Linked DNA regions of Canis lupus familiaris. The protein of the gene in region 2 interacts with the protein of the main gene of each other region in a pairwise test. Links are inferred from orthologs where the notes say so. Each region holds a gene or a part of one and is shown on either strand. Other genes may lie near its edges. The genes, in order: IL1A and HAX1.

Region 1 (15,739 bases), on a different chromosome or scaffold from region 2:
TGAGCATTAGCAATTGAGACCTCTAAACATTTTGACCTCTAAGTGTGCAGATCATATCTTTGGGAAAATAATTTATTATTAGAGATGTTTATCTCCATGTTTAAGCCAGCAATTAAAAGTTTTAAAAAATCCCAAACACACACATACACTTCCAGGTATATCAGCAACTGGCTCTTCTCAATATAATTTTTGACAATTGTGATCTCTTTAGGCTGTATTATTCTTGAGAGTATGAATGGAATAACAATACTTTAATGGAAAAGTGAAATTCAAATTTCAACTTGAGATGCTTCTACTGTGTTCTTTTTAATTTAGAGAAACTTCTTAAGGGTTCCTGGGGTTTTTAATGTCAACAAAAATTTATTTCACAAACCCATTCCTCTCCTAGTTTTTTCCCAACTCAGTAAATGTATTTTCTTCACACCCTGTTGGTTCTATCTCTAAAACATCACCAGTTCTGTCTACTTATTTCGATCTGTCTCACTACCCCAACTCCCATGACTATTATTATTATCTCCTAATTGAGCTCTGTGCTTTCTCCAATGTCTTCCTGCCAACCTATTCTCCATTTTAGAAAATATAAGTGAAGTCAGGACACTTCCCTGTTTGAAACCCTTTCATGGTTTTTCATTGTACCTCAAAGGAAACCTAAATGCAAGGCTCTGCAAACAATAGCCTCTGCTTATCTTTCCTCCTTCTTACAGTGCCCTGGTTCTAGAGTGTTCCTTCTGATTTCTGAAGCTGGCTTTAAACTCTTGAAGCTCTAGGTCCTAGATATGCTCAGATCCCTCTGTTTGGAATGCTAACCCTCACTCATCCCCTTCCATGTCATGCTCCTTCCTATCATCAGATCCCATTTCACAGGGAGCTCTGCTCTTGCCACTGTATGTAAAGAGCACTCTCCCATTTTTCTTTATCTCAGCACCCTGTTCATTTGCTTTATGGCATCTTGTATTTTTTGCTAGTTGTTTGGCTTGTCTACTGTCTGTGTCCTCAAGAAGACCAAGTTCTATAAGGCTAGGGACTTTGGCTTACCATGGTCTACATAGTTGTTGGCACTATGTTTGAAAAATAGAAGGCTCTCAATAAATAATGCCTGTTGAATGAATTCATGAATGGAGCTACTGCCCTAGTCTGTAGAGATTACTTTTACCTCAGTTGATCCAGGTAGAGAAATACATGCACCTACAAAAATCCTGGTTGGATTTGGGGGTTTGCATTATACATTTACTAAATAAGAGTCACCTATTTATCAGTGGAGTGAGCATCTAAAGCTACAGTGGGTGTGTTTAGGTGTCTATATGTTTGAGGGGAAGGTGGTAGTGGAGATGGGGCTGGGATGAGGGATAATGCTGACACCAATGAAGAGAGAGGTAATAGAGTCAAAAGGCCAGGGTTTGAGTCTTGGCTCGTTTTTTTTTTTTTGCTTTGTGCCCATTGACAAGTGATTAACACTCTCTGCTCCTAGTTGGCTTATTTGAGTTTTTTGGAAGAAGGCCCCATTGTCCTAATGTCTACCATCACATAGGTCAGATGGTAGATGTTAGTAAGATGGATGCCCTGGGTTGGAAGGTGACTAGGGTCAGGCAGGGTAAGGAAAAAGAAGGAAGAAGGCAATTTACCTTTTATTCACTCTTGCCACCTCCATTTTACTTTCTCATAGATCCTGCCTAGAAGTGCCTCTGGGGATAGGTGAGAAGTAGCATGCGGGGGCAGGTGGGCAGGTAGAAACTGTGTTAGGAAGGGAAAAGGACTGTGCCACCCTGCTAGGGGTATCTGCCTATTGGAATCATTCACAAACATGGGATGTAAATGAAGGTAAATTGGAGACTGAGAACCACTGACCTTTAGCAATACAGGTTCATCTTCATTTTGGGCACTCACAAAGAGTCGAGTTTTTGATATTCTTAGAGTCACAGGAAGTTTAGAATCTTCTGATGTGTAAGCTCCCATGTCAAACTTCACTGGCAAAGAGAAAAGTCAAAAAGGAAGTAAATCCATTGTTATTTGAATGAAATCAAGTGTTATGTAGATTGTGTGTATGTGTGTTTGTAGTTAGGTCTCCAACTATGGTGTAAACACCAGAATGGAATTCCACACATCTTTGTATCCTTCACAATGTCTGCTACATTTACTAGGCAGGTAAATACTTGGTTAATGTCTTTAGAATTTTCTGTGTTGAATGAATGCCTGGGGGCTGGCTATTTGTTGAATCTCTTATAATTACATTAGTGGGATAAGACCCTTCAACTTATGAGCTCATGAGTTTATAATAACCTAAAATGGAGGGGTTTAGGGAAGCTGATATACTCATGTTGCTAGTGCTAGTGAAAACTAGTTGCTTTCCTTAGAGAACAGTGCTTAATAAGAACTATATGATTATTTATTCCTAGGAACCAGGAGTTCCGTTTTTGGGGTATGCTCCAAAGAAATAACCTCATAGGGAAAAATTATATATACAAAGATATTTGCAGTATAGTTACTTAGAGCAAACCCAAGGCACCCAAATAGCAACATGATTGAATATTCTAGTGCCATTAAAATGCCTGGGTGGCTCAGTTAGTTAAGTGTCTGCCTTCTGCTCAGGTCATGATCTCTAGGTCCTGGGATTGAGCCCCTCATGGAGCTTTCTGCTCAGCAGGGAATTTGCTTTTCTCTTTCTCTCCCTCTGCCCCTCCCCATCACTTGTTCTCTCTCTTTCAAATGAATAAAATCTTTAAAAAAATGGCAAATATGTATGCTATTTCAATACGTGAGGAAATTATGTGAAATTATATTAAGTAGGAAAATACAGCACAAAATAATTTGTAAATGTCAAGGAGTAGAAAGCATATTATCTGAAGTATGTCCAATCAGAAAAAGCCCTGTTTGTTTTTTGCAAAGTAGTCTCTTTGGAGTTCTGAAAATAATTTTGTATACTGAGGGCATGTCCTGAAGCTAAAATACATACACCATGAAGATTGGATTTGTGTGACAAAATTTCTTGGATACTAAATTTCATCCTCCAGAACATATTGTCAGCTTATTGGGTGTTTTGCTTCACAACTGTGTTATCAAAGATGATGATTCTTTTCAGTTTGATGATACTTGTAGGTTTGAGCAGCAGGCTTTCTAATGGGGAATGATTGCTCCTATTGGCTTCTGGGTAAATTTGAATAAGTCATTTAATATTCCTGAGAGTCAGTTTCTTCATCTTTAAAACCAAAGATAAGAGTGTCTGAGAGAATCAAAGGAGCTACTTCATCAGAAAGCTTTATATTCGGTGCTCTCAAAGATAGGAAACTTCTCTCTTGTATAGCTTCCTGATTTGGCTGAAGCTCCCATCCTTGCCTAGGATTTTACTGGGGATGTTGTGCTTCATCCAATTCAGTAATTATACTGAACTATACTGCATCCTACTGCAGTAACTATACTGCAAATATCTTTGTATATATAATTTTTCCCAATGAGGTTATTTCTTTGGTGCATACCCCAAAAATGGAACTCCTGGTTCCTAGGAATAAATAATCATATAGTTCTTATTAAGCACTGTTCTCTAAGGAAAGCAACTAGTTTTCACCAGCACTAGCAACTAGCAACATGAGTGTATCAGCTTCCCTAAACCCCTCCATTTTAGGTTATTATAAACGCATGAGCTTACAAGTTGAAGGGTCTTATCCCACTAATGTAATTATAAGAGATTCGACAAATAGCCATCCTAAGAATTGTGCAAAGCTAGGAATCTAGAGAGGTTTATATTTTGAAAGCAAAAAGTTAGAAAGAAATACAGAAATAAGAGGATGGGAGAATGACAGAGCTGTACATTTACCTGCATCATCCAAATTCTGTAATGCAGCAGTCATGAGGTAATTTCCTCCTGTTTGTCGAACTATACTTTGATTGAGGTTGTCATTCAGGATGAATTGGGATTTGATGATCCTTATATAGTTGTATTTTTCATTGTTATGGAAGTTGTATGCTACTGATCTGGGCTTCATGATTACTAAAACCATTATCACAAGCTCAGATTAATGTCTATGAACAAACACAGGTAATATATCTGCTCTAATACAAGTATCAAAATTAGCTATGGAAGGGACATTAGGAATATTTCAATCCGGGTGAAAAAATTGAGAAAGAAGTGAAGTTACCCAGTCAGCAGAAATAGTTTCTAGGATTATCTTTGTGGCTACTTATTTCTTTTTAAACTTCAATTCCTTAGGCAGTAATTTTTTAAAAAAAGATTATTTGTTAAATATTCTCATTTTGGTTGTTTGGAGGTTTCTAAGAAAACAGGAAGACTGCTAACATTCACATCTACATTTTTCAGATGAATACACTCTAAGGAAAAAAATGAATATATTAAGACTTATATTTGTTACTGAGGATATAAGTCTAAATGTCTACCCCTCTTTCTGAACAGTGGTATAAATCAACAACTTCACAAATCCTCATGGTTCTGAGTAATTTTATGACTAGGAATCTATTCTAAGGAAATAGTGATAAAAATAAGGATATAATATGGATATTAATTGTTATATATTTATAATGTTGAAAAATTGGTACTCTAGAATGCCCTTGGTATATTGCTAAGTGAAAAAAAGCTGAATATAAGATTGTATATAATATAATCCTCATAATATTTGTTTATATGTGTGTATGTGCATGGAAAAGACTTTAAGGACATACCATAGTGCTGGCAGTGGCAAACTCTTAGTGGTAGTATGAATAATTTTTATTTTCTTTTGCATTTTCTTTCATCTTCCTATTTTCTAGGTGACTGTGTATCAGTGTTTACCTGTTACTTTAAAAAGCTATTATTGGGCAGCCCGGGTGGCTCAGTGGTTTAGCGCCGCCTTTGGCCCAGGGCGTGATCCTGGAGACCCGGGATCGAGTCCCACATCAGGCTCCCTGTATGGAGCCTGCTTCTCCCTCTGCCTGTGTCTCTGCCTCTCTCTCTGTGTCTCTCATGAATAAATAAATAAAATCTTTAAAAAAAGCTATTATTTAAAACCTATTTATGTTTCATGTAGAGGCTTATACAGTAGAAGCATGGGAGAATAATCCTGACTGTTAAAATCAGAACTGAATTTGGTTTAAACCTCTTCTGCTTATACACTATGTGACTTCTCTAACTGAGCTTAGTTTTAGTTTCCTCCTATGTAAAATGAGAATATTAGATTGTTGTGAAGTGTAGGGATAATATAGCCAGTAATAAATTAGCAATGTTGGTAGTAGTAAGAAAGGTAGTAGTAGTAATGGGAGTAGTAGTAGGAGGAGGAAGATAAGGAGGAATAACAAAATCTAATGTTTATTGGGTATTTATGTTCCAGGCATCATTCTAGTCCAGGAGCTTGCAAGTATAGATTCATTTCATCTTCACAAGTGGGGCCCTGATTATCTCCATTTTACAGTAGAGGAAACTGAAGTATAGAAAGGTTAAGTAACTTACAAAGGAGCATAGTTATTATCTGGAGAAACATAGCTTATGAGTAGTATGTAACTGCTTTCTGTCACAAGGATAAAAGGCACATGACCTTTACAATATGGCCACAAAATGCACCCATGAGGAAGTATTCTGTAGGCTCAGGCTACTCACTGCTGCTCTCTTCCCACTGGAGAAGGACAAAAATTAATTTTCCTTCCTTGTGGTTACTAGACTGATGTCTGGTTGCCCCCTTATTACTCTTATTCTAGGTTTTATTTTCTGCTAGCTCTGTTTGCTTAAGAATGGAAAACAAAGATATTATTTGTACTTGACCTCTTACCTTCTTCTGTGTCATTGGCAATGTCTTCCAGGTCATCATCGGTGATGAATTGACTTAAACTCAACCGTCTCTTCTTTAGAATCTTCCCATTGGCTGCCACCACTACCACATTTTCCTTGAAGGTAAGCTGGGATGTCTTTGAGATTTCAGAGGTACTCAGAGACATGCAGTCCTCATGAAGTGGGTCACAGCTCATATCATAGAAGGATTTCTATGAGGAAGGAAAATAGAAACTGAAGGGCTATATGTGGTCATAGGAAGAGATCACTTTCAGCAGAAGTTTTATCTAATAGATTTAGTGAAAAGGATCTCTATTCCATCAATCTTCTCCCCTTTCCCTCTCTCCTTCCCTCCTTCCCTCGTCCTCTTTTTCTCCTCCCCTCCCACCTTTCCCTTGGAAAATCTGTTGAGCATGGAGAATGTCATCAACAATTAGTGTAGAGAGGCAGTTGGTCTCACTTATAATGAAGAAATATTTGTCTCTGAACCTCTAGTGAGGGCGAAACAAAAGCTTCTAGGATTCAAGCTATTGCTGTTTTCTCCTGGTAGAGAAAATACTGCATAAGAATAGTAACCCCATAAGAATTGCAGTCATTTACTTACCTGATTCAGAGAGAGATGGTCAATTTCAGAACTGTATTCTTCATTTTCACTGTCAAACAAGATAATGAGAATGTAATTCTGTTTGTTACATCTCTGCAGTTGTTTTAATGACCACATTAGCTTTGGTAACACACACGGTCATTACTGCCATCTTTGAAAATTAAGGATTTCTATACGTATACATACATATGTGCTGTAATTGTGCCTCACTAATTTGGAATTAGTAATCATCAGTAATTGTCACTGAACTGTACCTGTGCTTTATCTCTAAAAATGGGGCTTGGCTAACAAATTGAAGGGTTGTAGTTGAATTTCAAGGAAAAATGTTAACCTCCTCAAGAGGAAAATGCTTTTGAAGCATTAAAATTTTTAAATAATGTTAACCAAGTAGGTCATGTGTTATACACTACTTTCATGTATTCACTTAAACAGATGTAATAATGTACACTTGGGAACTATCCAGGCAACATTTTGATAGCTTGGTTTGTGTTAGTATATACTAATAGATAATGGGAATACCTTGTTTGTTTAAAGTATCCTATAATTTAACATTTTATTCATTTACCCTTATGTCTGAATGAGTTTTGACTGTGTGTGTGCATTCACATGCTCAAATTGCTATGGAGCCATTACCTATTCCAGACTGAGATCCAGAAGTTTTCCTGAGAATGATTTCTCTCTCTGACAGTCCATTAAAACCCGTTACAATATCAGAGCATGTGAACCTGACTGAGGCTGTGTCTAAGTAGATGTTGAAATTCATTAGTTCTTAGGAGACAGTAAAAATAGTTTTTCAAAAAAAATAATTTTTTCTAAAATGGCTATCTCCCTGTCAGTGTCATCTCAGTGTAGCATGCTAGAAGCTTACTCTTTCTGGATCTTTGCTGAATCTGTCCTGACTTCAGAGGTAGGACACATCTCTATTTATGCTTCTGCCAGTCTGGCTCCATGCTAGTTACTGTAATACTAGGTAGATTATCATGTACCTTGATCTCCTCATTAAATTGCAAGAGATAGAACTGATTTCCTACCTGTAACAGTTCTTCAGGTCTTCAAAGAGGTCAGGAACTTTGGCCATCTTGATTTCTGCAACAGAGAACATGAGTGGCTGTCAGCTTAGCCAGCCACTGAACCAAATACCTGCAAGCGGAATCACCACTGCTTTGTGCTTCTTGAGAAGCTTAATGAATGACTTAGCCCACACTCAGCATTTTCCCCATTCTTCTTTGCACTCCCTTGTGTTATCTGCATATGTATCTGCCTCCTCTCCTAGATTGCAAACTTCTTTTAAAGCTTTGATATTCTCTATGTGCTCAACCCAGTGCATTGTACACAGTAGGCATCCAATGAATGCCTGGATAAATTAAAGAAAAAACCTACAAGAATGAGGTATTTGCCTTACATAGATGTAAGAGAGAGACAGATTTGGAAATTTCTAGTTTTCTCTTAGTAATTTTGGTAGTAGAGCCTCCTTCCAAGGGAAGGCTCGGCTGCACCCACAATGCCTTTATATGAAACCAGTTCTTCTGTTCCTCAGTTCCTCATCAGTAGAAAGAATTATTTTCTGAAATCTGACCGTGATTATAACTCACACACCAAACCAGGCACAGACAAGAAAGGAAGGAAAAGGCTTGAACTTCAGAGAAGGCAGTTTGAGAGACAATGGCCAAGGAGAAAAGCAAAATATATTTTAAAAGTCAGAGATGTGATCAGGACAATACCTTTGCTGACTCAGGAGACAATGAAGCGACTCCCTCTCTGCCTGGATACTTAGCCCTAGTCAGACTACTTCGCCTTTTGTCTTCTTGGAGTAGGCGTGGTCTGTGTGCGTCACAGGGGAATTTACAGGGAAGAATTGTATTTTTTTTTTTTTTATCTTCCTTTAACTGGAAACTGGCCAAATAACGACAGATTACATACTTGATAATAGTGTTGTTTACAGAGATTCCAGGACTTCCTAACTTGGCTCATTTATCTGGCTTTGCTCTAAACAATTATAAACATGTAGTCTTAGAAAAAGGGAAGAAGGACAGGAAATTTAAGTTTCTAAAAACATAGTGGTGGCGAGGAAGAGAGAACTCCTAAAATCAGAATTCTAGGTGGTTGGAATTAGACAGGAACTTAGGAACTGTAGTTTATGTTTTAGCTTAATTTGTTTTTTGTACCCCAGCACTGAGTATGGATTGATGGAATGCTTGGCAGCCCCTGGCAGTAAAGGATTGGCTATGAGGGAAGATGATCTATCTTTTCTGAAGAGGGAGATTTGCTTGAATAGGCATAAATCACTCTGAGAATGGGGAGACAACCTCCTGGTTAGGGCAGGGTAGGGGAGAGAAATGATAACTATAAGAAGTCTTAGTCCTCTTACTCCTCTGAATATTGTTAACCCATTTCCTACAGAAGTGACAGGGCTTTAGGAGAGAACTCTCTGCTCTGGCCATGTTATAGCAAAGTGGCTCTCTATCAGGACCCAAAGGAAGTCTGGTCTTTTCTAGAATAAACCTAAGGTGTGTGAGGATAGCTGCAGACTCAGGGAAATATGGGCAAGCCCTGGCCAAAAGCTGGTAGCTGGATTTGAGAATAGAGGTTGAGGGAAGGGGAGGGACTTTTATATAGGCACTACATCAGTGTTGCCTGGCTGTTATTATCAAAGATTTTATTGGCATCTTGAGGCTGGCCCAGTTCAGGTGGTACCACGTCAGACTCTTGGCAGATAAATGTTGAAGGTTTCCTGATTGGACTTTAAGCCATGTAAAAAGAAAAAAATTTTTAAAAAGATTTTACTTATTTATTTGACAGAGATATCCAGGGAGCATAAATGGCAGAGGGAGGAGAAGCAGACTCCCCTCTGAGCAGGGTGACTGATGCAGGACTCCATCCCAAAACCCTGGGATCATGACTTGAGCCAAAGGCAGATGCCTAGCCAACTGAGCCACTCAGGTGCTGCTAAGCCATGTAAATGTTAGATAAAGAAAATGGATGGAAAAAGAGGGTAGAGGAGAGGAATAAAAAGGTAAAGAGAGAAAGGTGAGGCACTGCAGTGTAACATGGTATAAAAAGGCAAAACTGCTCAGAACTGGGAGTAAAGTGGCTGTGTGAGTTGGGTAGAGTATTTTCTCTAGTCTTATTTAACAGCAAGTAGGGGGATCCCTGGGTGGTGCAGCGGTTTAGCGCCTGCCTTTGGCCCAGGGTGTGATCCTGGAGACCCGGGATCGAATCCCACGTCAGGCTCCCGGTGCATGGAGCCTGCTTCTCCCTCTGCCTATGTCGCTGCCTCTCTCTCTCTCTCTCTCTCTCTCTCTCTGTGATTATCATAAATAAATAAAAATTAAAAAACAAAAACAAAAACAACAAGTAGGGGTTGGTTAGATGTTCTTTAAGGTCTAGCCTAAGTGCAAAATCTCTGATTCTGATGCTATTAGCCAGTCCAGATCCTCTTGTTCATAGACCTGGTCACAATAGTTATAAACAAGAGCCACAGAAATAATGTATCCTAGATGTAGGCAATGTAAATTTAGGACCAGATTGGGACAGATCTTGCGTGTCTCTGGAAGGATCCTTGTTTGAATGGTGATGGTAGCCAATTTTCTATGTCTGTGGTTCTCCTTCAGGCAATACAGATATTAATCCTGGTTGTTCCTTCTGCATCCTGGAGATCTTGTGAGGGCTATTACCAAGAAATAATTGCAAACTACACTATGAATGTGGGCTGCTATGGAGATGCAACTAAACAAAAATAATAACAATGCTAATGATAGCTTCTGTCACTTGGGAACCTATATAGTCATTATTGTAACACCTTACTTCACTGAAGAATATATAGTTCTTATGAAAACATTGCTTTGAAAATTTTAACAAGGAGGACATTTTCAGGTGAAGGCCTCCCTTGAAACCCTGAAGATATTTAGTTCCTGGAAGGAATGTATAGCACCTGTTTGGTAATCCAGGAAAACATCCTTGGTCCTACCTTTAGTGGTTACACCCATCCTGGCCTATGTCCCTCATGTAGAGAATTGGAATTCCCCAAATATGGTTATTGACTTTCTCAAGGACAGTTGGAATTTTTTCTAGATAGCCAACTTAGGCTGAGATTTCACTAAACTTTTTCCTTCATATGACCTTTTTGAAAATTGGCTTTTAAAGGGAACAACATGGATGAGGTTTAGAGAGTGGGAGTTCTCACTTTGGGGGAACCTACTTTTCTGTATGTATGTACCTATACTGACTTGTAAGTAAGTCTCATCACTAGACCATCTCTACCTAGGGAATGGAGAGAGAAACATGCTAGGTAGAGCTCTGTTGGAGCCCAGGAGGTCCTTGGGGGTTCAAATACCCATCTCTTGACTCTGAGGAGGCTTCAGTAACTGTTAGTCAATTTCCACCAGATCATATAGAAAAAAAAAGTTTATTGTGTACTTATTCTGTGCCAGAGTTTTTGTTAGACATAAGCATTTTTCTTTCAGGATTCACCAAATTAGATACAAGATGAGATGATATATTTTGGTAGGTAAGTGGATACACTTTATTAGCCTGGAAGTTGTAGGTATAAAGAATCATGGTGGTGCTTTTCATTTGAAAACTGCTTTATACTTCACAAAGAGCTCTCACTTGTATTGTCTCACTGGCTCCACACTTAACCCACAGAGGTAGTTGCTATCTCTTTTCACATCTGAGGGGCCTTGAAGAGGTTAAGTGGATGGTTGTCACAAAAGTGGCAGAGCCAGCCCTCTAACTTCGGGTTTCTGTTCCAAGTCCAATCTTGACTTTCTAGTGCATTTAGGTGCTCAAGTCTCTTGCCTCCACCAAATGCCATGTGATGGGGCTGAAAGAGATCATTTTTGAAGGTCTTGTCAGCCTCAAACACCCTGTCATTGATTCTAGGATTTTTTTTGTTGTTGTTGTTTAAAAGAAAAGATGAAAAAAGAAATGATTTGAAATATCCCCCCTCCCTCTCTCCTCCTCCATCAATGAAATCTCATTTTGTTCTGTGACATACAGGAAAAGGATGGAGGTGGTCAATGTAGTTAAGTGCATGGTCAGTGGTGGAGTCTGGATACAGACTTTAGCCATACTCTTGCCATTGTACCATGAAGACAAGAGAAGATCTTTGGAACCAACTTTAAAATCATTGCATGTAGTTGGATCTACAGCATTGCTTGAATGAAAAAGTAAACATAACTCTTCACTATGAATTTTTCAGGGGATGTAATTATTTGTTTTCAGGTTGTAGAAGTCCTCTTCAGAGGAATGAAGTGTGCATAAACCATTACATACAGAGACAATTGAGCCTTTTGTCTCATCTCATCCTATTTAATTGTAACCTGCTTTTAAATTCTGTGACGGTTAGTGGGAAGGAGGAAAGGATCTAACATAGTCTTCCAGGTGTTATAATACATTTTCTCATTTAATCTTCTCATCAACCTTGTGAGGTAGGTATTCTTATCACATTTTATAGAAGAGGAAGTCAAAGTCCAGGGAGATTAACCAATCTGTCTAAGATTTTGAGGTTACCAAATTGCTGAAATGGGATTCAGATACCAGAGCCTAAGACTCAAGAAACTACTGGGCTCTTTTTCTTAGTATAACCTCTTCCTTTTCTTTATTCTTTTAAAAAAATTTAAAAAGATTTTATTTATTTATTCATGAGAGAGAGAGAGGCAGAGACACAGGCAGAGGGAGAAACAGGCTCCATGCAAGGAGCCCAATGTGGGACTCGATTCCCGGTCTCCAGGATCATGCCCTGGGCTGAAGGCAGGCGCTAAACCACTGAGCCACCTGGGCTGCCCCCTGAGTTGATTTCAAGTTTCATTTAGACCCATTCTTTTTTTTTTTTTTTTTTTTTTTAATTTTCTATTGAGGTATAACTAATACACCATGTTATATTAGTTTCAGGTATATGATATAATGATTCTACAATTCAATATATTTCTCAGTGCTCATCAATTTAAGTGTACTCCCTTGCCTTCTCCCTTGGTACACTGTCTTTCTGTCTTTTACAGATGCACTTAAAATCAGAGTTCATTAGGGAGGTTCTGTGTGACCACAGTCATGTCTATACCTGTCTCTCATTTTTCTTCTTGTTGGCTAATTGTGATTGCCTAATCAGAAGAGCATTTTAGAGAAATTCCCGTTTCTTTTGAGTCATTTTCCTCATGGAATCATAGTTGTCTCTGGTCTGAACTTGTTTCACAATTAATAAAAAACTTGGATTACTTTTCTGGATTCTAAAACATGATTATTAAATATTGCTAGGGAAATATAAAAAATATAAAAAGAAAATAAAATCCACAAACAAATAACTAGAGGTATTCAATATTACTACCTTGGTGTATTTTCTTTCATTTGTTCCTTTTTTAAGGCATATATAGCTTTGTTTTTATACAAATGGGATACTCTGAGCATTTCAATATTTGCTCCTCTGAAATCTAGGGAATGTATATGTGGTAGATTCTCCTTACCAAAAATCCATTTGTAGGATTACTTGATAAATGTCTGTCTTCATTTCCTAGTCTCCCTTGCATGGGTAAGGGATATATGGTTCCTTCTGGCCAAAGCGTGAGCAGGAAGTGATACGTGATATGTTATACTTCTAGGCTTATGCAATTGAGGGCCACTGTATGCTTCCGTCATCTCCAGCTTCCTCTGATGCAGCAATTTTGGAAGTCACGTATTCCAGATGGTATGGCTACAAATGGATGAGGTATGGTTGCAGATGTATGAGACTAGAACAATCTGCATTTATCTTTGCATGAGTGAGAAATCTTTATTTATTTTAAAAGATTTTATTTATTTATTTGATAGAGAGAGAGAGAGAGAGATTGAACAAGAAGGGGGAGTGGCCGGCAGAGGGAGAGGGAAAAGCAGGCTTCCCGCAGAGAGGGAGCCCAAAGTGGGGCTCAATCCCAGGGTCCTGAGCCAAAAGCAGACACTTAATTGACTGAGCCACCCAGATGCCCTGAGAAACAAATGTTTGTGTGACGTCACTGAGATTTCAGAGTTTAACCTAATCTATTCTGTATACTATGCAGTATAACCTAATCTATTCTGATTACTACTGTGTATAACTATCTTTCCCTTCTCCATCACAAACTCCAAGGTGACATGCACTTTATCTCAAATTTCTTCTTTCATATAATCAATTCCTTCTTAGACAGAATTGTGTCTAGATTAGTATTCCTCTTATCATATTCTCTACTCTCTGAGAGATGATTTTCAAATCAAGTGAATTAAAAACCTAATCAGATGCTTTCATTTTGGCCAAATTCTGATCCCAGGTATAAAGATATATTTAGTTGTGAAAATAAAAAGGCCAATAATAAACTGTTAACATCCCAGGTGGAAATCATATAATAATTACATTAAACATCTAACATTTGTATGGCATTTTATAGTTTTTCAAAACATTTTTTCTAAATATCAGTATAAGCATTCACTATGATGTGAAGCTGACTTATGGATGCAAATAATTAACAGCAAAGGTCCAATGCCCAGTGCATGATTCTGTTCTCCTTCCTTTTGGTATGAATTCCTGGGTACTGGGGAGGATGGACCCCTGGTTAGAGCAACTGTGGCGCAGGACAGGGAATGGCAAGTGTGGTACACAGTGTGGTTGAAAAGGCAAGAGACTTGGATCTGGCTTTGACCCTAACCCATTGTTGTGTGACCTAAAAACATTTCTATACATCTCAGAGCTGTCCTTATCTATGAAGGTAAAAGATTGGACTGGATGACAGTTGGGATTTTTGCAGCCATGGCTGTTCACCCCACACTTCATGACTACCCTGAACCTAACCATATCTGCTTCATGGTACTTCTATACTCTTGAAGTATTGTGTTTGGTTACATAAGGCTCATCCTGTATTCATTCCTTAATATTCTTTTGTAGGATCTTTCTCTGTCACATGTACAGTTGCGTTAGAAACAGATACATGCTTTTTCATTACTTCAGTGGCCGATTTGATTTGTCACTGAGTATAAATAGAAACAAGTTCCAAAAAAAAAAAAAAAAGAAACAAGTTCCATTTCTAGTACAGAAATATATAACAGTCACTGACAGAAGGAAATAACAACTTTACTCCATTGATGATGACTCAGGCTTGATAGAGATGAGAGATCATCTGGGGCCTTGCCTTGGTTACCTTTAACAGAGTTTAAGTTTCTGAGTCAGAAAGGCTAGACAAGTTTTACAGTATTTTGATTAAAAAAATGAACATCCAGGGAAGAGATGTGATCTTAACTTTCTCTTCTCTACTGTGCTCTCCATGAGATCTTAGTGCAGTCCTCTGTAGATCATTATATCCCCTTCATAGTTGCTCAAAGGCACTATAGCTCCCCTGGGAGAGAAAGAGCAGGCTGAGAGAGCCTGGACTCAGGAGCAGGACCTAGGTAGGGGCAGAGGAGAGCAGGAGTTTCCACAGAGCAGAGTTGCAGGAAATCTTACTGAAGCCAGCTTGGCAGTCTGCTTCACAGTGAGGCGTTGTATCAGAAGCCATGGGGAAAGAGGTGGCAAAGAACTCCACCTGCCCTTAATAAGCTCTAAACTTGTGGAGAAGACCTGTGCAGATGACTACAGTGCAAGCAGAATAAAAGAAGTCCTGTAATAGAGGCACAGCAGGCAGATGGGAAGGGAGAGGCTGAAGCTAACATGGAGAATTATGGAAGACTTTACAGAGCCTGCATTTTAGCTGTGACTTGAAGTGGTAGGTTTGGATAGTGGAGAATGGATGTTCCAGGCTGAAGAAATTGGGTGAGTAAAAGCATAAGGCATAACATTTCATGTCAGTGTCTCCTATTGCATGGCCTTGGCAAGTTACTTAACTATTAGAGCTTTGGTTGCCTCATCTGTAAAACTGGGCTAACAATTCTTCATAGGGCTTTGGAAGTATTAAATGAGATTGTGTTTGTGAGAGTATTTAGTTCAGTGTTAGTTTCCCTTTCTTTGTCCCCAAGTGTCCAACTTTCTCCTGATTCTTTGCTCAGGCTGTGCCCCCTTTGGGAGTTATTCTCCCCTCTCCCACCCATGGAATTAGACCTTTCTTTGCTCTGCTAGTCCAGGCTCATCCTTGACATAGAATGGAAAAAAGATTTGCTGCAGGGAATTTCAAATGTAGCCAACCAAAAATCAGGTTATAGTTATAGGAATTCTAAGTAAAATGCAAGCTTGTCCATAGTGGTTATAGTAGATTGGAATAATTATTAAAGGCTATCAGTTCATGCTGTCATTCATAGGTGAGGAGCTTTGATCCAGGAACATGCTTCTGGAGCAGGAGACTTAGTGGTGATTAAGACAAACAGGGTTCTGAGCCTCATAGAACATCTCTGCTTGTGGAGAAGCATGTATGATCATAGTTGTGGTGGTTTTTAAGAAAGGGTAGTGTGGGATGCTTTGA
Region 2 (15,991 bases):
TCCCCACTCTGCCTCATCCTGCCTTCAACTTCCTAGCATTTGTATCCCCAGAGAGTGCTAGCACCCCCAAGAAACCTTGCTCATGTCTCTTTTCATCTTTGTCTTTTCCCAGGGAACCCAATTTAAGAGTTGGTGTCAGGAGTGGTTCCACAAAATCTAGAACGGAATTTGGGCGATCACTCACGGGCTGGTTGACAAGAACTCTATCATGGTAGTAGGTAGAATATGGATCGTCTCTAGCTTGAAATAATGCAATGATTAAAACGGCCAGCAGTGGGCAGCTGGAAGCGGTGACTGGTTGGAAGGACATGCACTTGTGCAGTATCTCCAGCACTGAAGAAGAGGCTGAGGGAAATGGTCACTGGGTTCTGCAAAACCCATCACCAAGCAAAGGCAGACCGCAAAAGCCACTGGGCTCCCTTGACAGCATTTCAGGAAAGCCTAACCTCTTGCAACCAGTGAGCATTAGAGTGGAGGACCAGCTCAGATGTGAAGTGTATGAGTAGCAGAGTTTTAGAGAAAGTGCAATTCTCAGCCCCAGTAGGTTTCCTGTGTCAAGGGTAGGGTCCTGAAAGAAAAAGGGTAGGATCCTGACACTTGAGATAGGGACATCTGGGTAGATGCAACTAAGAATCCTGAATCCCGATTCCTCTGAACCTTCTCTCAAATCATTTTGATTTTCCTTTGTCTCTAGTGTTCTGAAGTAGTGTGGGTTTATTTTTTTCCTTGCTATTTAGCATGTAGCGGGTCTTTCAGGTTAGAAGTAAAATTCTCGGGCAGCCCCGGTGGCTCAGTGGTTTAGCGCCACCTTCAGCCCAGGGCCTGATCCTGGAGACCTGGGATGGAGTCCCACATCGGGCTCCCTGCATGGAGCCTGCTTCTCCCTCTGCCTGTGTCTCTGCCTTTAAAAATTTTTAAAAAGAAGTAAAACTCTCCACTTCTGGGATATTTTCTTGGTTTATTTCATTGATGGTTTACATTGTTAGTTTTTCTTTTTTTTTTTTTTTAAAGATTTTATTTATTTATTCATAGACATACAGAGAGGCAGAGACACAGGCAAGGGAGAAGCAGGCTCCATGCAGGGAGCCCGACGCGGGCCTCGATCCCTGGTCTCCAGGATCACACCCCAGGCTACAGGCGGCGCCAAACCGCTGCACCACTGGGGCTGCCCCATTGTTAGTTTTCTTATCGTTTTTTTCTTTTTCTAAGATTTTACTTATTCACGAGAGACACAAAGAGAGGTGCAGAGAGAGACACAGAGGGAGAAGCAGGCTCCCTCAGGGGAGCCTGATGCAGGACTCAATCCCAGGACCCTGGTATTACACCCTGAGCCAAAGGGAAGCGCTCAATCGCTGAGCCACCCAAGCGTCCCCCTCTTTTTTTCCTTTTCTAAAAAAATTTTTATGAAACATAGTCAACATGTAAACATTCTATTAGTTTCAGGTGTACTTTTTTCCTGTTTTCTATCTCTATCACTTGGTCTTTCTAGAGATTTCCTCACCTTTGTCATTAAAATCTTTATACAGGGGCAGCCCTGTAAAATCTTTAAAATAAAATTAAAAAATAAAAAATAGAAAATAAAATCTTTAAAAAAAATTAAAATAAGGGCAGCCCTGGTAGCTCAGCGGTTTAGCGCTGCCTTCAGCCCAGGGCCTGATCCTGGAGACCCAGGTTCAAGTCCCACGTCGGGCTCACTACATGGAGCCTGCTCCTCCCTCTGCCTGTGTCTCTGCCTCTATCTCAGGAATAAATAAAAAAATTTTTTTCTTAATTAAAATAAAATAAAATCTTTTTACAGTTTTTCATTTCTGCCATCACATTTTTTTAAACTCCTCAAAGTTCATTCTTATTTTGTTTATTCCTCTTTTGCAAGAATACCTTCTTTATGGATGTATCATCTTATATTTCTAAGGACATTAAAACGTGCCCTTGCTAAATCATCTTTCTGCAGGTATGTTTCTCCCAAGTCGCTTCTCTTGTCTGAGTCCACTGTTCATGCTGGAGGCTATCCACAAATGTCTGGTCATCTCCAGCTCCATGTGTTTAAAGTGGTACTCTGAAAAGCTGATTAGAAAAATCAATTGTGGGCAACCCCGGTGGCCCAGCGGTTTAGCACCGCCTTTGGCCCAAGGCATAAAATCCTGGAGACCCAGGATCGAGTTCCGCATTGGGCTCCCTGCGTGGTGCCTGCTTCTCCCTCTGCCTGTGTCTCTGCCTCTTTGTGTCTCTCATGAATAAATAAATAAAATCCTAAAAGAAAAATCAATTGTAAGGGTGCCTGGGTGGCTCAGTGAGTTCAGAATCCAACTCTTGGCTTCGGCTCAGGTCATGATCTCAGGGCTGTGGGATAGAGCTGGGCTCTATGCTCAGCAGAGTCTGGTTGAGATTCTCTCTCCCTCTGCCCCCCGCCCCCACTCATACATGTGCTTTTTCAAACTTTTTTTTTTTTTTTTTTTAAGATTTTATTCACCTATTAGAGACAGAGACAGAGAGAGAGAGAGAGAGAGGCAGAGACACAGGCAGATGGAGAAGCAGCCTCCATGCAGGGAGCCCGACGTGGGACTCAAACCCGGGTCTGAAGGCGGCGCTAAACCACTAAGCCACCGGGGCTGCCCACGTGTGCTTTTTCTAATTAATTAATTAATTAATTAATTAAGAAATTGTATCCTTACATACTAAAAGGAGAAAAAAGTCAGAGGACATGTTCTACTAAATACAAGTCTGCAATTTTAAAATGTGAGTAGGCACAGAGACAAATAGATTAACAGGACAGACAGAAAGGCCCAGCACAGGGAACCATGTGTATTTGTGTGTGTACAAAATATATTCATATCTGTACATACATATGCATATGTATTTTCCCAAATAGAATAAAATGAAGTTGGTCCCATGTTTCTTTTTTTTTTTTTTTTTTTTAGATTCCATTTATTTATTCATGAGACACAGAGAGAAACAGGCAGAGACATAGGCAGAGGGAGAAGCAGGCTCCATGCAGGGAGCTCAATATGGGACTCAATCCCAGGACCCTGGGATCATGCCCTGAGCCAAAGGCAGACACTCAATTGCTGAGCTGCCGAGGCATCCTGGTTCTGTGGTTCATACCCCATAGGAAGATAAATTCTTGATGGATTTAAAAACTTAAATGTAGGGATACCTGGGTGGCTCAGTGGTTGAGCATCTGCCTCCAGCTCAGGGCATGATCCCAGAGTCCTGGCATCAAATCCTGCATTGGGCTCCCCACAGGGAGCCTGTCTTTCATGAATAAATACATAAAATCTTTTTAAAATAATAAATAAATAAAAACCTAAATATAAAAAGCAGAACTAATAAAACTTGTAGAGGATAAAGAAATATTTTTTTAACCTTGGGTTGGGGATATTCCTAAGATATAAAGAGCACTAACTATAAAGAGAAATATAAACAACTTCTTGGGTAATAAATCAACTTCTGTTCACATAAAGATATAATAAAGAGAAAAGACAAAATTTCATGATTATATCTCTTTGTTCTTATGATTTGCTTCCTTAGAAAAATCCCTTTATTGTCATTTTAGTGAAATTTCAAGAAAACAGAGGTAAACAAATGTTTAAGATCTGCCACTATAAACCACAGTGCTAAAGTTTTGTTTTTGTTTAAAGGTTTATTATTTGAGAAAGAGAGAGAGAGACTGAGCAGGGGGGTAGAGTGGGGAAAGAGTGGGAAGGAAAAAAAAAGAGTGGGAAGGAGATGGACAAGCAGACTCGAGCTCAGCATGGAGCCTGATGCAGGGCTCAGTCTCATGACTGAGATCATGACCTGAGCTGAAACCAAAAGTTGGATGCTCAACCGACTGAGCCACCTAGGTGCTCTTAAGAATTTCTTTAATGAGAAAAAAAAAATCTAGCAACGTTTGTCCTAGTTATATTTTCTCCAACATACATGGGGCGGGGCGGGGGGGGGAATACATACCCACTAAAGGAAAAAATATTTGCCAATGTATTTCATCAAATTACCTCGTGAAATGTCCGATCATAGTGATCCCACACCTGGGGAAGCAGGTGTCCCTACATTTCCACACACACTTCCGCTTGTTAGACTCTAATGCATCCCTGTGTAAATTTTCCTGGAATTGTCTCTAGGTATCTCCTCCATAAGAATACTCATTTTCTACCAGTACCTGACCAAATTATCCTGATTATCCTGACCAAATTAACCTGATTATCAAATCAGGGTTGGGAAGCAGAACAAAAAATTAAGAAGTAAGAATACTGTGGGCCAAAATAATCTGGGAAGCCCTGGATGGTACTACAAAGTAGAAGAGCCTCCACTCACCCCGCGCAGCAGGCGGGTCCCGCCGACTGGAGAGAGCTTGGGAGGCCTTTAAAAAAAAGGGGGGGGGGGGGAAGAACAGCCTAGACAAAACTAAGACCAAGGAGTTAGCATAAATAAAGGTTTTATTGGTCAGTTTAGGTGAGTCACATACTGACATACCCCCAACTCACTGTTCCATACACCCAAGACCCTGAGGTGGCAGGAGAAGCTAAGCCCACTGACAGTGAGCGAAGGGTGGAAAGGATCTGAAGGCCTCTGAGGGTTAACAAGGCTACCGGGACCGGAACCAACGTCCTAGAAATAAATCCAGGATGGAATAGGCATCATCCAGGGCTGGAGGTGTTGGTGATTCTGGATCTAAGGAGAAAGTGATACATACAGACACACTAAATGAAAAAGAATGGGCAGTGGACAAGGAGAAGAATATCAAAGGCTGAAAAAGTATGTGTGTTTTTTGCCCAAGGAAATAAGAGATGGACCTTTTTGATTCACAAACTTTACTTACCATCTCTAGGACTGCCATCTGCTTCTTGATGGGTTACTGTGGTCTCTGTCCGGCCCTCACTATCCACCACAGTCCGGCGCTCCTCTACTGTCTACAAGGAGAGACCCCAACCATATCTCTAAGATCAATAGAAGTGAGCTCACTGGTTTCTTTATATAGATTGCTCTTCCATGGCATCCTCTGGCCACATTTCCCTTTACTCCTCTTCCAACTCACCCCATCTGGCTTAGTGATCTTAGTCACCGTGACACTCTTGAAATAGGATTTGGGCTGGGGCTGCAGAACTGGGCCGAGGCCTTCCTGGGAAACCTGCGAATCAAGATCTAGAAGGGCAGAGAGGAAACACGAAATCAAAAGTCCAAAGGAAAAGAAGGGGCCAAGTGTGACAAGAAGAAATGTAAGGGAGAGAGAACAAAGGGTACGTTAAATGTCCCCTCCCTCCAGACTCACCATTGTCTTCTCTGGCTCTAGAACGGGGGGTCACAGGCCACATATCATCAAACTGTAGAAGGCAAAATAGGTGAAATGATACCTTTCAATCTGAAACTTGAGAGGTCACAGAATCCAAAATATTCCTAAGTTCCGTAACTACTTTTCCCCTGGGACAGAGGATTCCACTCAGGATAGCTTTATTTACTCACCCCTTTCTCTGTCCTACCCGTTCAATCTATCTTTCCACCAAAAGGCTCTCCTCAACTGACACTCTATCCTATCCAACAATCCGTCTTGTCCCAGAATCATACAGACTGGTGATTTTTTTTTAAGGTTTTACGCATTTGAGAGAGACAGGGAGTACAGGAGGGGCTGAGGGAAAGGGAGAAACAGACTCCCCACAGAGCAGGGAGCCCAATGTGGGGCTGGATCTCAGGACTCTGGGATCACGTCCCTGCATGGAGCCTGCTTCTCCCTCTGCCTGTGTCTCTGCTTCTCTCTCTCTGTCTCTCATGAATAAATGAATAAAATCTTTAAAAAAAGTTATATGGCAGCCCGGGTGGCTCAGCGGTTTAGCGCCGCCTTCAGCCCGGGGCGTGATCCTGGAGATCCAGGATCAAGTCCCGCATCGGGCTCCCTGCATGGAGCCTTCTTCTCCGTCTGCCTGTGTCTCTGCCTCTATCTCTCTCTCAGGAATAAATAAATAAAATAAACCTTTTTTTAAAAAGTCATAAAAAAAAATAGAGAAAAAAGCTGAACTCCCACCCTCATGCGCCCCCTCCGCCCAATCCTACAAGGAGCTTAATAGAGAAAACAGATAAATACACTAGACAGTGGAGAACCTAGGATCCCAACCCAACTTTGCTAGATTCTGACAAGCTCCAGTCTGTGCTTTATTAGTTACCTCCTGCAGGCTCTCACTTGGGGCCCAGAAGCACTCACCAGACCAAAAGGTCTCTGGGAGCCCCAGTCTGGTGCTGGTTTGGAGGATTCACTTCTTGTATCACTCTCCAAGACCCCCCCAAAGATCCTGGGCTGGTGACTATCTGGATACTTAAGCATTGAGTCCCGAAGTGTCTGTCCCTCCCGTCGTCTCTCACCAGGTGTCTCTGATTCAGGACCAGGACCTGGAAGTTCTGGGAAAAGGGGGCAGATGGATGCTGGGGGGGGGAGAGGACCTGGGCTCCTCACAGCCTTGATATTATCATTCTTCTCACACTTCCCACCCCCACTACTCTCTTCAGGCTCCTGGCTTCACCCACTAACCCAGGAGAAACCAGAGGTGCTCCAGGGGCAGCCACACACCAGAAGGCCGGGAAGGCAAGGTCCAGGCCTCCATCTCGCTGAAGATGTTATTAAAATCACGAATCAGGTCATCAAAGCCGAAGTTATCATGGAAACGCATCCCTCCTGGAGTGAAGGTGAAGCCAAAGCCAAATTCCTCCGGGGTCTGGGGACCCTCAGACCTCGAGCTCCCATGGCTCCACGGGGCTGCTTCTTCCTCCTCTTCCTCATCGTCCTCATCTTCATCTCGAGTCATCCCTCCAAAAAAGGGATCTCTGTGGCTGGGAGTGAAGGTAGATTGAGCACCAGAATCTCAGCCACACCTTCGGCCGCACAATCAGCTCCGGGTGGCCGAGGAGCCAAGGGCAGAGGTCTGCGCACCGAGGTGCGGGAGTGAGGCTGGCGGGGCGCCGTCGGGGTTCCGTCTGTGTCAGGGTCGGTCCTCACCTCGCGGGCAGGCCGTGCCCCCGCCCCCCGCGCCCCACCCCCGCCCGGCCCCCACTGTTTCTCCCGCCCAGGCCCCTGTTGCATCACCCCAGACTGGAGAAAGGCTTAAACTGCGGTTAGTCCTCCTCTCAGCGGCCGCCCAGGTGACCGCCGCGGGGCGAGTGCGCAGTGTGCTGACTTCTGTCCTCTCCGCAGCTGGTGAAGGAGTGACGAAGAGGACGGCTTCCCAAGAACTGGGTGTCAGAGATCAAGCTCCCCTCAGGAGACCCCACCCTCGTCCGACCCCGACCCACTCTAACCTCCGAGGTCCAGAAAGGCCGAAAAAGCCCCGAAAGAGATCAAAGAAGCTCATCCCCGTTTTGGGACTCGAACCTGCAGACCCCACCGAGGCCCATTCGCACCTGGCCGCAGCTGCACTCCGCCGCCGGAAGTTGAGAGCAGCGTCGGGCCGCCTGCCGGAAAGCAGGCAGGCGGCGCGGCACGCTGTCGTAACACGACCGTCTGCTCGGCGCAGGCGGCGCGGGGCGCCGCCCGGTCCCGAGCCGCACCCCCTGCCCGCGAAGGGAGCGGGCGAGGGCCCGGAACCCTAAGCCGCCTTCCTGCCCGGGACCGGCCGCCGCCGCCAGGGGGCAGCCTCCGCCCAGCGAGCCGGTGCGGCAGGTGCTCCAGGCTCGGCGTTTGAATCCACGGGTCGGTTGGGGATGCTCGGACTTGGCGCTCCCCGGCCAACGGGCATGCGGTGACCGTGACCGATACTAGCTGCCCTAGGCAGGCTCTGCAGCCTGCAGGCACAGGCTTGGCAAGAGAGCCGGGGAAATCCCGTAAGCTTTGCCGGGGGAGGAGTTTGGAGCTGTAAGTAACCCTCTGCCTGCCCCCTGACTTTCAAGCCTTTCCTTTCCTGCGCCCCCACCCTCCCTGCACCCCGGCCCTGGTCTCCTGACCCCTCCTTTTCAAGGGGCCGGCAGCACTCAAGAAGCAGGAACTGCATGCCCCCCCACCATTGTCCTGGACCATCTACAGTACACGACCGCTCCCCAAACCCACTCTCCAGCTTTCTACCCTGTGTCTGCTGTCCATTCCTGTCACAGCCTGAAATCTGCAGAGGAAGCAGCTTCTGGAGGAAATGAAAATTTGCAGCAGCTCCTTCTAGGCTGTGAAGCCCCTGGGGAAGGAGGAGAGGGAATCCCAGCAGGGCAGGTGAAGGCAGAAGCTCTCTTTATTCTGGGGCCTCCAGAGCCTGCCAGGGGCCCAGCTGGAACGGAATATTCATTCACCGAGCTGGCTGACCAGACTGTCTTAGAATGAGCAAGAACGGGCAGAGGCTGAAGGTAGAGGTTTTCTTTTTATATATACAAGACACATTAATCCATTAAATTCGAGGACACAGTACAAAAAAAAAACACTTCAACTAATTCATCTGACAATGCTGTTCATATTCATGACGCCATTTTGTTGTTGTTTTGTTTCCTAATAATAAAGGAGGAGACGTAGGGCTGTTGGGCTGATATATATTTGGGGGTCCCCCTGCCCCACCTCACCTATACACCACCAGGGTGAACAGGAGGAGAAGGAAGGCGGGGCCCACAGCAAAGTTTCATAATCTTGAATGCAAGGGGGGAGGAGGAGAGGAAAGGGGGAAAAAAAAGGAGAAAATACAAATCCTATAATACATACAACAGAGTAGGGGTGGTATGGGGACGGGACAGACATGAAGCTGAGGCATAGGGTGGGACACTGGAGGTAGGGGCAGCGGAACCCCCCCTTCCTCTCTCTCTGATGCCGTTTCCGTGGTTGCCGGGCAGGAGGGGGGTCAGGCCTCAGTTAGCCCCCCAGCTGTAGCTGTTGTAGGCAGACTTGTTGGTCTGGGGCTTCTGCGGGATGGAGCTGGTCTGGCTACGTTGCCCGCTGCCCGTCTGCAGGGAATGGGATGATGAGGAGGAGGAAAAAGGTGTCTGGTTAGTGGGACAAATCTGTGACATCTGCAGGTAGAGCTCTGGAAACTGTCTTGCTCTCCCACTCCCCTTGCTTAGAAATGACTCTGAAGTTTACTTCCCCACCACAGAAAATTTGGTTTCTATAGGTGCTAGAGGACCTGTGACATGGAAGAGAGCATTTTCAAGCTTTGAACAGGGGAACAACATAAAGACGGCAGAATACCTTTTGGAGACAAGACAGTGAATGAGTTCTCCCCACTTTCAATTCCACTTTCTCCCTCCACTCCCACCTACACTGCTCTGAGAAAAGGCTCTCTCTCTCTAGAGAGAATCACAGCCTCTTGGAGAGGAGTGATCACACGGAGATTTCATTTTCATCAATCCCATGAATACCTCAATTTGGAAAGCTGTCTTATCCCAGCTCCTCAGCCACCTGTGATGGAGGAGAGGTCACTTGTACCACCCCAAGCTCCCCACCCCTACCACAGAGCACAGCTGAGAGCCCACTGCAGGTGAGGTAGGAGAGACAGTCTGAGGCCCCAGGCTCCAGAGGCTGCCCCAAGAATCCTTTCCATTCCAGTAACCAAGTGCTTCCAGAGTCAGGGAAGGGCAGAAAGAAAGAGGGCGCTGGGGAGGGAGGACAAGAGAGGAATGGGAGGCCAGAGAGCTCAGCGAGGTGTCTGTGTTTGTGTGTCCTGATCTGTGACCGTGCAGCCTTTCCAAGTTCCCTGACGCTGTGGAGGTGAAATGGGGGCTGGAAAGGAGTGGGTTCAAGCACATCATCATTCAGTTTCATTACCTGCTCCTCCTGCTGGCGCTGGCAACAGAGAATCATCTGCAAATATGGTAGCTGAGGCAGAACCAGGATATATGGAAAATAAAGGGACAAACTTTGACAATAGAACTCCACCATTAGAAGGGAAAGCTACAATGTCAGGGAATGGGGGAGGCTGGGAGAGGTTGGAGGGGAGGCGTGACCCAGGTCTGATGGGATGAGGCAGCTGTGTTATAGGAGGCAGAAGAGAAAGGCCCCAAAGGAAATTTCAGCCTGGCCCCTTCTCTGACATCTCCTCTGCCGGCAGCTGGTGTTATGTGCACTTGTGTGTGTATGTGCTGTGTGCCCATGGCTGGCGCTGGGAGGGGTAGGTGAAGGTGGTTGTGAGGAAGGGTAAGAGAAGGAAAGGGAGGCAGTTGTAGGGGACAGGAAGGAAGAGGAAGGGAGAGGAGAGGGGGAGGGCTATTACCTGGCCATCCTGCTGCAGGTGATGGTGGAGGATCTGGGAGTGCGGCTGCTGATGGGGGGTCAGAATGTGCATAAAGGGGGCAGGTGGGTAGGCAGCAGCTGTGGCCGGATTGATGGGCCCCCCACTTCCTAGGGCTGAAGGCAAGTTGAAGGAGGCAGCAGGAGTACCGGAATGAAAACCTTGTTTCTCAAAGGACTGCTATCCAGAGGGATGGGGAGAGACAGTAAAAGGGGTCAGCAAACCAAGCCCTGGAGTTTCAGAGCCCAAGTCCCCCACCCCCCAAGAGCAGTATGCAGCAGAACAGCAGCACTAAAGGCACGTGAGCGGGTCTGCTCTGTTCTCCAAGGGCTGTGGGATCCTGAGAGAAGTACTCACTCATTCTGATCTTTGCTCACACATAACCCAGGGGTGCTGACTCCCAGCTGTCAGCACAGCAGGAGAGGACAGCTGTGAGCGTGCTCTGGGACTCTACCATCACAAACCACCCCCACCGTGCAGCTCGGGCATCCTGGTGGCAAAGGTCTCGGTCACCAAGTGCTCCACCATAACTCCGAACACTGCATGTATCAGGCTTAATAGTTCAGATGCACTCTTCCGTTCCCACCTTTTGTTTTTACAAAGAACGGAACTAGTTTCCCTTCATTCCATTCTCTTGGAAAGTTGCAAAAAGGCTGGTGGTATGGAAAGAAAGGACAGTTGCCACAGTAAGTCTCAAGACACATCACAGCCACCTGCCACGCCTTACCTTCCTGGCACACTTCTCTTGCCTTTCTCAGAGAGCTAAATTTAAAGTTCTTTGAGAAACTGAAATCTAGAGACCACTCATCTTCGAGGACAGGTTTCCTACACCTCTTGGGGTCGTGCTTGTTCACTGGACTTCTGTCACTGCAACACCACCTCCTCTATGCCCATCTCTTTCCACTTCTAGGCACCTACCTGGGTTTTGGAGTACACAGAACCCGAGATATCTGGCACGCCCGTGTTACTGGAGGTGACTGATACACCTGGGGGAGGAGGAAACAGACAGGAGGATTAGCTGGGCTCGCTGCTGGCCCCTCTCTAGACAAGGAGATGGCGTGTGCGGCCTTTCTAGTTACCACACTGCAAGGGGACTCTGGTCTGTTTTTCCAGCTCAGGTCAGCACCGAGAGAGATGAGAGCTCATGACCCAAATCTCTTGTCCTTTCCAGGTTATGTACTGAGAATGTATGTGAGAAAGTGAGCTGAGCTACTTTTTGTGGGGCAAGTGGATATAGCCAAATCTCACTAGCATATAGTTTTCAAAACACTTTTGTGCCAAAGCTGAAAAGAAATGTAATAAAATTTTAATGTCCATTTCAAATCAACCCACCCAGACTCCACCCAGTCCTGCTCCTAAGATAGGTAATCTGGGCTCTTCCTGTTCAGAAGAGACCTTTGGGCTCAGGATCTGTGCTTTCACAGCATAAGAAAAGTGCTCAAGGAGCAATCCAGTCCAGCCCCAAGAGCGTGGTCTGTTCTTGGGAGTCTCAGCTTCCCTGGCCCGGCTGCTCCAGTCTTGGCTCTTCTCGGCTATGTACTTCTGACTTAACGAGCTGATGCAAAGGTGCACTTCCAGCTAACTAATTTAAGCCTAAGCATGGGGAAGGGAGGGGGTTAGGAAGGCAGTGGGGGTAGGCTATCTCCTACAGTCTATGTGGAACACAAAACCTGACATCCTCGTTGTTTACAACTTGAGCTTCTCCATTAGACACGGGCTCTGATCCATACTCCCACCAACCTGCACATTTCCTGGTGAACTCCCTCCTACCACTACCACCACCTAAAGGAAACTAAAGCAGTACCATTCCTCATTTTAATTTCTACTCCCTAAACTGAAATACATATAACTACTCTCAGGTATGGGGCCATGGGTCAGGGAGACAGGAAAAAGTAATCAGATAAAATAATCCAGCATCTTACTAGAGAGATTTTATGCCAAGATTTGAGGAAAAATAACTCCATTTAATTTGGAATTTAAAGCACACTTTTAAGGAAACATTCAGTCTCATCACAGGAGATAAAATGAAACCAGAAAAACTGCATTTCAGCCTGTGTCCTTGATCCTTCTCTCCGGCTGGGAGGGGCACTTTGATGGAAGAGTATTTTAGAAGCACTGTCTATAAACTGACCAAATCACAAATTCCCCCATAACTCAATAGCAGTTCCCCCTTCAAACTCCAGAACCCCAATCCCCCCAATGCCTAGGACAAAGGCAGCCTTCAAAAAGTTAAGCCCCCTTTGGATAGCCGCTGCAGGATCTTTCTTTCATAGCACAAGTCTAGATGGTTTGGTGGAGGAGCCAAGAAAAAGAACAGAACTATGGAAACAGCCTGAGAAATACGGCCCCATCACTTCAAAGGCCCTGAAATAAAAGGGGTCGACCCAGGGACCGATGGGGTAGATCTTCCCCTTCCCTCTTAATGGGTGATAGGCATTAAGAACAGTTCATTTATGGAAAAGACTAGGCCACTGGGAAGGTCTGTGTGGAAGGGCTGAGAGTGAGGCAGTACAGACAGGATACAAATAACGTTTTTGAAGGAAATCAAAGACACAAAAGTTCAAACACCCTGCAGACACCCAGGGTCACCCCACCACACTGGATGGGAGAAAAGGCCTACTGGTTTCTAGAGCTGGGTAGCAGGGAGGAGTTTAGTTCTGGAGTGCCCCCCACCCCGGTTTCATTCTTTCCAGAGTCTGGACTAGTTAACATCCAGCTTCTAGGCCTGAGGCTGTAGTCTGGGTGGTTAAAGGGACTAGAGATGCAGGATGAGACGACAGTGTAGCAGCCCTAACAGCCTGAGTGTGAGCACTAATGGAATAGCTGTCAGCTTCCCCACTTACCCTTCACCAGTTATGAGAAAGCTCATCAGACTAGAGCTTTCCTTCCAACAGTCAACATCTCATCTATCCCCCACTCCCAAGCAGTGAAGACCACACTGACATGATGTGGACAGTGGAGGAGAAACGAGAACTAACGTCTCCCAGCATGGCAGCCTCTAGGGGAATGGGGTATCTGGGTTTCCAATGAACAAAGGGTGGTGTTCTCAGCCTACAAGGTAACTGTCAACAAAGGGGTGAGGTGTACTAGTAATTAGACTGAGTGAGGATAAGAATTTCCATAGTCAAGGAGTCGTCTAAGCAAACGTCTCCCACGCATCCTTAGCTACACCCACAAGTGCAAAACCACGAGTACTCCACAATCCCTGAAAAGCCTACCAAGGGATAAAGAATAAGAACGATGTTGCAGGCTAGCACAGTGTACACAGCCTGAGTCATCAACTAGCTGGTCACTAAAGACTTCATCAGATCTCAACCAGCCACCTGGCCAAGGCCCTTGGAAGCCACTTCCCTAAACCAGCTCTGAAAACCACCTCTTCTGCCTTTCACCATGACAGGACACTCCAAGCGGTTTCTGTCCTTTCCCTCTGCTCACGTCAGAGACCAGGGAAAGAGCTGAGTGGAAAAGTGAAGAGCTGTAATAAGCAGGGAGAATCAGGGATTTTCTACAAATAGCTTTCTTTACTGATCAATCAAAGGGTTGGAAACAGGCTGCTGCCCCTCGCCCCCCTTCATAAAATCACCATGACGAGAAGTTAATAGTTCTTTGGCTATGCTGGGATTTGATTGAAAAGCCCCCCCCGCCCCCCCTTTCATCCACAGCACAACATTGGCTCCTAGTGTCCAGAAAGACATGCACGGAAAGAACGCCAGAGTTAGCTAAAGAAATACCACAGTTTATTGAAGACTACAAATATTTTGTTACAAGTTGAAACTACATGCCTTCCAGAATCAAAAGCAACAGCAGGTGTGTGCATTGATGCTTCGGAGGTGCTGCACCGCTTGAACTCGAAATGGGTAAGACAGGGTCAGACACATGGGGGAGAGGGAAATGGGGGAAGGGCAAGTTCAAAGCCCAGAAGGTATCCACCAACTCATTTCCCCAAGCCACGCAGGCCATGGCCTCAGCTCAGCAGGCTCTCCTCAGTGGTCTGGTTTCTGAAACAAGACTTCAGTGCAAATTTATACACACACACAAAACATAGCCCCCAGCCTTGGGCCAAATTAGCTCTCTGCCGTCCAGAAATGCTTGTAAGGGGGTGGATATTTTCTTCCTAAAAGGAATCAAATACATAAAAATAAATGAATTTAGAGGTTGATGCGGAATGGGATGACAAGAGCCCTCTGTGGGGTTGGGAACTGGGGGTGCTCAAAAAACTGTTACAGTAGATTTCTGAAATCTTAAGGGAGATAAGAAACTAAGATTTCCAGAATGAGGTTTGCCACTCTCTTATGTTATCAATCACCTACCTCTTAAAATTCTTGAATCTGGTCCAACTAAACCTTAAATCTAATGTTCTGAGAATGGGGCCATTCCAAGTCCAGAGAGCTTATAATCCTCCCCACCAAGGATTAGGGTGCATCTTGCTCAGTGAGAGAAGCAGCTCCAAGGAGTGAGGCAGGCCAGGATTTCTCCAGGTTAAATCCAGACTCACCCAGAGTGCTCCGACACAGCTCACAGCTCCACCTCGCGGTTAGGTTAGTTCCCAGGCCTACTGCCCTCCGTGCTCAGCTCAGTTCCCCAATTAGGGAAAACCTTGGGCAACTGACCCACCTGGAGCCCACACAGGGGTAAGAACACAGATGCAGCTCCATCCAAATCACCATGAACACGTAAGTGAGCTTAGAATTTTGAAAAACCCCCAACCCCAACTCTCTGCAACTCCAACAACCTCTTCCCCATATTTGTCTACAAATCATGGACAAAAGTAGATGGCACGGTTTTATTCAAAAACGACTCCTTAGTCCCTGTCCTCCAGAAGCGGAGTGCAGGTGTCAGGTATAGGAGCAGGGGACAGACTGGGTATCTTTCCGGTCAGTGCCCATTGAGAGGATTTCTGCATTTTCCTCCTGCCATCAAATGTGCAAACAGACCTTGCCAAGAAACCAACCATACAAACAAGGGATTCTAAGGTCCAGCTCTCCCTGTGTTGACCATTCACAACCCATGCTTTTCTCTGCACATCCTAGATCTCCCAAATAGGGAACGGAAAGGGGTTGCATGAGAAAAGGAGTGTATGCCAAACCCACCCAACTCTGCTATTCAGGAAGCACCTCTGCTTCTGTACTACCACTACCAAACATCCTAACACGTACCTCCACTGACATCTCCATGAAATACTGGGGCCCTTGGCTCTGCTTCCCGCCCAACGTTTAGGTCAGCCAACATATTCTAACAGCCAACACATGCCCCAGGGCATTCCCATCATGAGTGCTGGACATGTGTTTTAACGTTAAGCATCTCCGCTGGTGCTGCTCAGATAGACACCCATATCAGCCAAACATGAAAAATCTTACATGGAGCTGCTAGTGGCACACTTCACCAACCCTGTTTTCTCAAGCAGCACATCTTCCTCCCTAAAACTCCTTCAGTCACATCCTATAACCATTATGGACAGCCCAGGTCAAGGTAAGCTTACCAGTGTTGTATCCATGAGACCCATATCCACTTGGCTGTTGGAAAGGGGTGGCCGATGCATTCACGCTGACATTCACACCATGCTGCTTGGAAGAGGTAGGAGCCACCTAGAGAGCAAAAGGGCCAGGAGTGAGGTGACACGGTGACAGTGAGCCTTTCCCCCGACCTGTCCTACTCCAGGAATCAGGCATTCAGACAGCTACCATCCTGAGGCAGGCTGATCAGTCTGCTTAGTGAAATAAGCTTTATAGAGCTCCCTATGGAGCTTTATAAAATCTACCAGTGAAGTCACAAAATGGTTGCCTGAAGGAAGAGAAAGGGGCGAGTGGCAGCAGGGA

What was found.
Region 1: the proteins of HAX1 (region 2) and IL1A interact in binary tests that used the Homo sapiens proteins (3 or more experiments, as listed by UniProt). The link is inferred for Canis lupus familiaris from reciprocal best matches to the Homo sapiens genes HAX1 and IL1A.

Annotation. Positions count from the first base shown.
Region 1 is NC_049238.1:37,152,840-37,168,578, forward strand, and holds the start of IL1A (interleukin-1 alpha), read right to left. Parts: upstream 8,152-15,739; 5' UTR 8,072-8,151; intron 7,437-8,071; 5' UTR 7,429-7,436; coding exon 7,382-7,428; intron 6,400-7,381; coding exon 6,351-6,399; intron 5,959-6,350; coding exon 5,748-5,958; intron 3,983-5,747; coding exon 3,809-3,982; intron 1,965-3,808; coding exon 1,846-1,964; intron 1-1,845. UniProt on the Homo sapiens protein: Cytokine constitutively present intracellularly in nearly all resting non-hematopoietic cells that plays an important role in inflammation and bridges the innate and adaptive immune systems.
Region 2 is NC_049228.1:42,951,912-42,967,902, forward strand, and holds HAX1 (HCLS1-associated protein X-1), read right to left. Parts: upstream 7,440-15,991; 5' UTR 7,332-7,439; coding exon 7,279-7,331; intron 7,213-7,278; exon of another isoform or gene 7,067-7,212; intron 6,814-7,066; coding exon 6,515-6,813; intron 6,385-6,514; coding exon 6,191-6,384; intron 5,319-6,190; coding exon 5,267-5,318; intron 5,140-5,266; coding exon 5,033-5,139; intron 4,908-5,032; coding exon 4,817-4,907; intron 4,669-4,816; coding exon 4,583-4,668; 3' UTR 4,416-4,582; downstream 1-4,415. Other genes in the region: UBAP2L (ubiquitin-associated protein 2-like), read right to left, coding at 8,797-8,892, 9,713-9,763, 10,158-10,355, 11,094-11,161, 15,655-15,760. UniProt on the Homo sapiens protein: Recruits the Arp2/3 complex to the cell cortex and regulates reorganization of the cortical actin cytoskeleton via its interaction with KCNC3 and the Arp2/3 complex. Slows down the rate of inactivation of KCNC3 channels. Promotes GNA13-mediated cell migration.